Linked DNA regions of Stegostoma tigrinum. The protein of the gene in region 2 purifies or fractionates together with the protein of the main gene of each other region. This does not show direct contact. Links are inferred from orthologs where the notes say so. Each region holds a gene or a part of one and is shown on either strand. Other genes may lie near its edges.

Evidence for each region. Proteins that work in one complex are often made in the same cells at the same time.
Region 1: the proteins of exosc10 (region 2) and exosome complex component RRP40-like purify together in Homo sapiens (affinity purification with mass spectrometry; 8 studies listed by BioGRID and IntAct, counting the BioPlex papers as one, with this or other methods). This does not show direct contact. The link is inferred for Stegostoma tigrinum from reciprocal best matches to the Homo sapiens genes EXOSC10 and EXOSC3.

Annotation. Positions count from the first base shown.
Region 1 is NC_081354.1:15,917,288-15,921,039, reverse strand, and holds the start of exosome complex component RRP40-like, read left to right. Parts: upstream 1-1,125; 5' UTR 1,126-1,187; coding exon 1,188-1,403; intron 1,404-3,161; coding exon 3,162-3,311; intron 3,312-3,752. UniProt on the Homo sapiens protein: Non-catalytic component of the RNA exosome complex which has 3'->5' exoribonuclease activity and participates in a multitude of cellular RNA processing and degradation events.
Region 2 is NC_081381.1:39,425,788-39,429,539, reverse strand, and holds the start of exosc10 (exosome component 10), read right to left. Parts: upstream 2,691-3,752; 5' UTR 2,668-2,690; coding exon 2,563-2,667; intron 1-2,562. UniProt on the Homo sapiens protein: Catalytic component of the RNA exosome complex which has 3'->5' exoribonuclease activity and participates in a multitude of cellular RNA processing and degradation events.

The DNA.
Region 1 (3,752 bases), on a different chromosome or scaffold from region 2:
TTTGAATCCTGTTTCTGATAAGTACAAGATGAAAAGTTTCTGATCTCCTTCTAGCAATGTTAAGAATAGATCAAGGTAAGTATAAGTCAAGCATGTTGCATAAAGCAAGTTAAAGTTTTATTGCACTTTCCATAATTTTAATGTTACAAAAATTTACTTTGTAAACGTTTTGTGAATAATTTTTGCAGAAAAAGACAGCTCTGGTCAAGTTCCAATCATGTGATCTGGGAGGACGGAAGTTTCTTTATAAACAACATTAACCCAGATGTGTTCTGCTTTCACAATCTCCTTAAGTTGCAGGCCTTTTACCTTCAGTAAGGTATTCATACTCGATGAAGTGATACTTATGAACGTAAGAACAAGATGTGGAGAACCAAAGGATTCAATAGATATTTATTACAGCATCTGGCATCTGCACGTTACAACCACAAACGCTTGTGTGTCTGGGAATAAAGCAACACAATTCAGATGTAAACTGCAGTACAATTCTCTCTGAGCATAATGCTGCAAGAAGACACAGTAAAATGGAGACCGAGAATTTTATACCATCAGGCCCATGCAATGATTTTATGAGAATGTATATTTTTGCAATATTGGAGAGTTGACGACTATGAGGAGCCAGAACGCAAGTAGAGTCAAGGCCTGGGACAGATTGGTCATGAATCCTTAAAGGGCTGAATGGCCCACTCCTGCTTCTATTTCTTCCATTCTGATGCTGTCTCTGTCTCTTGCATCCTTGTTTGGATGAGCGCAAGGTGAAAAGTTTCAATTCAGTGACCCTTCGGGCTCAAAACTTTCAATCTGTTTCTCTCGCCACAGTTGCTGCCAGACCTGCTGAGTTTCTCCAGAAGTTTCTGTCTTCGTTTGAGAATTCCAGCATCTGCAGATCTTTGTTTTATTCCCGTGTTGAAATTTACCTGATCGCCGGGCTCGAGTCTGGATTGACTTCAGGACGCTACCCTCGATCTGAGGCTATACAAATGCACATTGTTGTTTATTGTCCTGGGAGGGGGCTCTACGATGGCGTCACGAGGAGGCGGGCGCAATGGTGACATCGTGCGGGGGTGCGCTGACGTCATAGAATGACTTCAGTGCGTCGACGTTGTGAGAAGGCGGGGTCTGCGTACTGACGTTCGACGTAGCGCCGCGACGCAAGGCAGGCCCAGTCACGTCTTCCCCGAGGAGGGATGGAACGGCCCGCAGCTGGGGCCGTCTCGCAGGTGGTGCTGCCTGGGGATGTGCTTACCTTCCCTCCCAACTCCGGGGATAGGGTCTTGTGCGGGCCCGGCCTGAGGCGACAGGGCTGTGGGCAGTTGTCCGGACATGCTCTGGTGGCCTGCAAGTCCGGCGTGCTCCGGCACAAGGAGCCCTCCGTCTACTGGGTGGAGTCGCAGCAGAAACGGGTGAGGGAGGCGGGTCAGATCTCTTCCCCCACAACGCTCACTAATGAGGTGTCAGGCCTAGGATGGGTGTAATGGGCCCCGGTGTAGGGGATGCTGGAGGTCCCTGTGGATTGTGGGATCCTGGAGGAGTATGAGTCCGGTGCAGTGGAGGTCCAGGCGGTATGATGCTGTGGGCTGGGGACAGTAGGGGAAAGGGGATTACGTTTTTCCCGGGTGGGGGAGGGGTGTTGTGGAAGTCCTGAGGAGTATGGACGTTGGGGGCTGGAGGGGAGGGGGGTACAGTGGTCACAGGTGTGGAGGGACTGGGTACTGGAGTTTGTGGGGTGTGGGAACTGGTGGTGTGGTGCTGGAGGACGTGGTGGGGAGGGAGCAAAAACAAAAAGTGCTGTGAAAGCTCAGCGGGTCTGGCAGCATCTGTGCAGAGAAATCGGAGTTAACATTTCAACAGCGACAGTATCCGCATTTCTCTTAGTTTTTATGGTGTGGAGGGAGATGAACTGGGTCTAGGGATTGAGGAGGGAGCAGTGTAGTAAATACATCAGTGAGACTTGAGTTGCTCTTTAATGAATCATGGCACTTTTACAAACTAATGTGCTTAAGATGTATCACCCATTCCATGGTGTAGGAAGAGAAAATCAACTTCTTATCCTTTGAGCAGTGCTGGAAGTGCAATTAGGTGCATACTGATTGAAGTCCAAATTAAATTCAGCTATTTTATATTCCACCCTGAACCCATCTGTTTGTTTTCTGGTTAGTAAATTGTTTAAGACATGAAAATTCATTCTGATATACAAATCTCCACATCAAATTACTGAGAAATTTGTGCAAGTTAGGAGATGATGTTTGGTCACTTCCCAGATTTATATGTTGAAGTATGTGGGAAGTGCTACTGAAGTTTACAGAAACAGAAATTGCTTGAAAAACAAGGTCTGGCAGCATCTGTGAAGAGAAACTTTTAGTCTCCTTTAGCAATGTTTAATGTATCAGGTCCAGTAATCCTCCTGCAGAACTGAAGCTTTGCCAACTTATTTGCACAGAAGAACTATTTGAATAATTGAGATAACAAAGTATGGAGCTGGATGAACACAGCAGGCCAAGCAGCATCTTAGGAGCACAAAAGCTGACTTTTCATCTAGGCCTGAAACATCAGCTTTTGTGCTCCTAAGATGCTGCTTGGCCTGCTGCGAATATCCCGCACCACACTTTGTTATCTTGAATTCTCCAGCACCTGCAGTTTCCATTGTCTCTGATCATCATTATATTTGAATAATTGTTGTTTTCACTCAAATTCTTGGTAAATTTTTGATTTTATGATGCCTGATGTGGTTCAAAAGCTCCCTTGGGCAATGTGAATATATTTGCCTTAAATAGAATGTAAGAACCAAAAGAACTGTGGATGCTGTAAATCAGGAACAAAAACAAAGTTGCTGGAAAAGCTCAGCAGGTTTCTGAGGAAGGGTCACCGACCTGAAACGTTAACTCTGTTTTCTCCTCCACAGATGCTGCCAGACCTGCTGTGCTTTCCCAGCAACTTTGTTTTTGTTCTTTAAATAGAATGTGCCTGATACCCTGAGAACACTGAACAAATTGGTGATTTTAAGCAGAGATTTCCATTGTTGCCTATTTATTTGCTGCTTGGAGTGCGTTTAAGAAATTCAGCTGCATTTTTTTCCAGAATTTGTAACTATAACTCAGAATTTAATGCCGAGTAAATTACATCGGAGAAGAATTTAAAAGTGTCCTTTTGCATTTTTTCAGTATGTGCCAGCTAAAGGAGAATACGTGATAGGAATTGTGACTGTGAAGTCTGGTGATATATTCAAAGTTGATGTTGGAGGAAGTGAGCAAGCCTCGTTATCATATTTAGCATTTGAAGGAGCTACCAAGCGAAATCGACCAAATGTCCAAGTAAGAATTTTTTGTAAAGTTTTAGTCTTAAACTAATGCTTAAGATGCAGATTAGTTTAGTATTCTGTGTAATTGTGATAGCTCTATCAGAGGTGTTGATGGTTTGGCTTGATGCATGATCAAATTTCTAATCGTTTTAATCCTTCTAAGGCTGATGACCTACCAACTGCAACAAGGTGACCAGGATCATGACTATCACTAATTTTAGGAAAGTTTATGTTTTAGAATTTTTAACCAATTTTGGGTATACATAAATTTTACCAAATACAGATATACAATAGCAAAAAGGCCAAAATCTGGGCATCTGAATGCAGAGCCATAGATTTGACTTGTCTACACTAATCATTTCCCTGTTACAGGAGTTGGTGCAATCAAGATTCATCGTGTAATGTCTATATAGAAATATGACCAACTAATAATGGTACATTTTGTGCTAACAAT
Region 2 (3,752 bases):
CCTTTTCGGACAGACGAGAAGAATTTTGTTCTCTTGAGTGTTTAACAACTTGGAACTCTGTCTCAGAAGTTGGTGTAAGTGGGAGCACTGAATATCTTTAAGGCAGGGACAGATTGATTTTCTTACCTTACAAGAACTCAAAGTTAGTGGAAGTAAGTGGGAAAACAGATTCAAAACATAAACAGATGAGCTATGATGTTATTGAAATGGACAGCAGGGTTGAGGTGCCAAATGGCACTGCGTTGCTGGAATAGCAAGAACTGCAGATGCTGGAGTCAGAGATAACAAAATGTGGAGTTGGAGGAACACAGCAGGCCAGGCAGCATCAAATGAGCAGGAAAGTTGACTTTTGGGGTCAGAACCCTTCTTCAGATGTTCCTCTGATGCTGCCTAGTCTGCTGTGTTCCTCCAGTTCCACACTTTGGCCCCATGCTGCTCCTATTTTGTATGTGTGTGGAAAATAAAGCAGAACAAAATCAAAGCGGTTTCAGCTAGACACTATTAATTATAGGGTGATGAGAAGGAAGTTGATCTCAGATTCAAATGACAATCAATTGCCTCTCAAAAAGCAGAAAATGAACTCGGAGTTGGAAATAAACTAAATGTCAGAAATGATCTCTGTTGTTTTGTATATAATTTATAATGTAAACAATTACAGTAAGTCAAAGTATTTCTGGCATCACTTTGAGGCAGAGATGGTGTAATGATAACATCAGCGGAGTAGAAATCCAAAAACACAGACATAGGCTTGGGTTTAAGTGGATTTAAAATCAATTGATAGATCGGGGATATAAAACTAATCCCAGTAACAGAGAAGCAAGACTACCATTAAGCATGTAATTAACTTCCTCCCCTCCACTGAGTGCAGCAGTTCAACCAGACACTAACACCACACACAGCCCATTGAACAAATAAAGGGAGTTTATGTTTACTGAGGATAATTTGCATGCAATTTCAATTCCACAAACATGGTTGCTTCTTGACTGCTCTTGGAACTAACCCAGTCAATTGCTCAATTAGATGAAATCACTAAAAAGAAGTGACTGAAAAACAAATTCCAACACTGTTTTCTGATGACAGCTTGACAATCAATACTTGGGTTAACGATTTCGATAAGGACAAATTATTTAGTTTATACCTCGGCACAATTATTGACAACAAAAATAGAAATTGCTGGGAAAACTCAGTCCTGGCAGCATCGATGAGAGAAAGCAGAGTTAACATTTTCGGTTCAATGACCCTTCTTCAGAACTGAACGCAGCTGGGAACTGGTTGGTATATCTGTGTCAGAGGTATCATGGATGTATGTGGGCAGGGATTAAACCTGGGGAGAGAAGACTAGGTCAAGGTAGGTACAGATGAGTTCTGTAGGGCAGGAGCAGGTTGAAACAAGGGGTCTGCCCAGACAGTCCAGTTTGTGGTTTTTTGGAAAGAGGTATGAGGAGGTAGGTGTATTCACCATTCCTCCTAACCTTCCAATCTCCGATGCTAAATGCTCTGCACACAGCAAAGGCCTCAGTTTTATTCCTCTGTATCCCAACCTTAACAAACTTGAGGCACGACATGACGTCAAACTCTTCTTCTGCCATCTTCGCCTCCATGCCCATTTCTTTAGACAAGCGTCTTCTCCCCTTCGCCCAGTCTGGTCTTTTACCTAAGTTTGATCTGTTCCTGGAGAACTGTCAACGTGATATTGACACCTCAATTTCTCTGCCTCCCTCACCAAATCCAACCTATCTCCGACATTAACCTAGCTACCATCAGTTCTGAGGAAGAGTCAATGGACCCAAAACATCAACTCTGATTCTTTGCTTCACAGACACTGCCTGACCTGCTGTGCTTTTCTGGCACCTTCTGTTCTCATTCTTGATTTACAGCAACCACAATTTTTTTTGGTTTATAAGGTTAATGACTGTTGTGAATACAATAGCCCAATGTTGGATGGAAGACTTATGGTCCAGAGGGAGAAGGAAGGCACCTGAGAGCTAGTGCTCAGCATGCCAGACAACAGCAGCACCACAATGGCTAGACTACAAAGTCAGGACTGAATTGGAGAACACAAATTGCAGTCAGTTCTTGGTGGGGGAGGGGAGTGGGGTTCGAGGGCAGAGAAATTGAAACGGCCAAAGTCACGTCCCAATCTTGAGCTGCTGCCTGATCAGAGATAGTAGGAACTGCAGATGCTGGAGAGTCTGAGATAACAAGGTGTCATTTCTGAAGAAGGGCCCAGACCAGAAACAGCAGCTTTCCTGCTCCTCTGATGCTGCTTGGCCTGATGTGTTCATCCAGCTCTACACGTTTCATTTATGTATCGCTCATGACCATCCCTGTTGTGCTCTCCTGGTCGGACGGCAGCACAGTGCATACAGTCGGGGGGGGCGAAGAAGTGAAGGCACATGATGTCTCGTGGCAACAGATCCAGCAAGAGAGAGAACACATCTTAATGACGGCCTCCCATCGCCCTCCCTGGGCTGATGATGTCTCCTCCGTGTTGAAGAACACACGAAGGAAGGAGAAGAGACAGGGATCCCGCCCCCAGCACCCGCATACAACAGCGCCAACCTTCACGAAGCTATCCGCGTCACTAAATCCCGGGATGGGGCCGTCACCGTTGAGAGGCCTCTCTCCCGGATCCTGATGCTCCTCCGCACAGCCCTGCGCCGCCATTTTGCCGACTGACAAACTCTCGCGCAGGGGTGGGACGGAGAGGGAGAGACTCTCGCGAGGCTCGGGAAATGCCTAACCACGCCCCCCAGCGGAAGGGACTGAGCCGCCCCGGCTGGCGGCTGGCACGTGGGGACAATACGTGGGCGGGCGCAGACTGGCGCGTCACGTGGTGTCGGCGCGTCACGTGGAGGACAATCCCGCGCTGACTGAGGAGGCGCGTGTTGGAGAGCCCTGGTGCAATGTGCCTGTGCCATGGTGGTAGTGTTCCCACATCTGAGCCAAGAAGCTCAAGTCTGTCCTTCTCCAGAGGTGTGTAAATAATGTCTCTCAAACAGAGGAAAAAGGGTCCAGATCAGCTTTCCTGCTCCTCTGATGCTGCTGGGACTGCTGTGTTCACGCAGCTCCAAACAGCCTGATCGGAAAGAATGTGGTCTCCAGCCTGGCCCCTGTGCGTGCTGACCCATTCCCTGATCACATTTCCCTGGTGCTCACTGTTCCGTGGCAGTGCTGCGTTTGGGGCAGCACAGTGGCTCAGTGGTTAGCACCGCTGCCTCACAGCGCCAGGGACCCGGGTTCGATTCCACCCTCAGGTGGCTGTCGTTGCAGAGTTCGCACATTCTGCCGGTGTCTGGGTGGGTTTCCTCCGGGCGCTCCGGTTCCTCTCACAGTCCAAAGACGTGCAGGCTAGGTGGATTGGCCATGCTAAATTGCCCCATAGTGTTCAGAGATTTGTAGATTAGATGGGTTTTTAGGGGGATGTGTCTGGTTGGGATGCTCCAAGGGTTGGTGTGGACTTGTTTGGCTGAAGGGCCTGTTCCACACTGTAATGATTCTTTGATTATTGGAGATGCTGTCTTCTGAATGTGAGGTTCTTGAAACCTGCAATGCTAGTGTTGTAAGTGGAGCTAGAAGCTCTCGTGAGTGATCTGAGCAGCAAAACCTATTCCTTGGCTAACAATCCAAAGAATCTGATATGGTGAACGTAGGAACAGGAGTAGGCCAGTCAGGCTCCAAGCCTGCTCCATCATTCAATAAGATTATGGCTGGCATGTGCCCTAACTCAACTACTCGGCTTGCGCCCATAT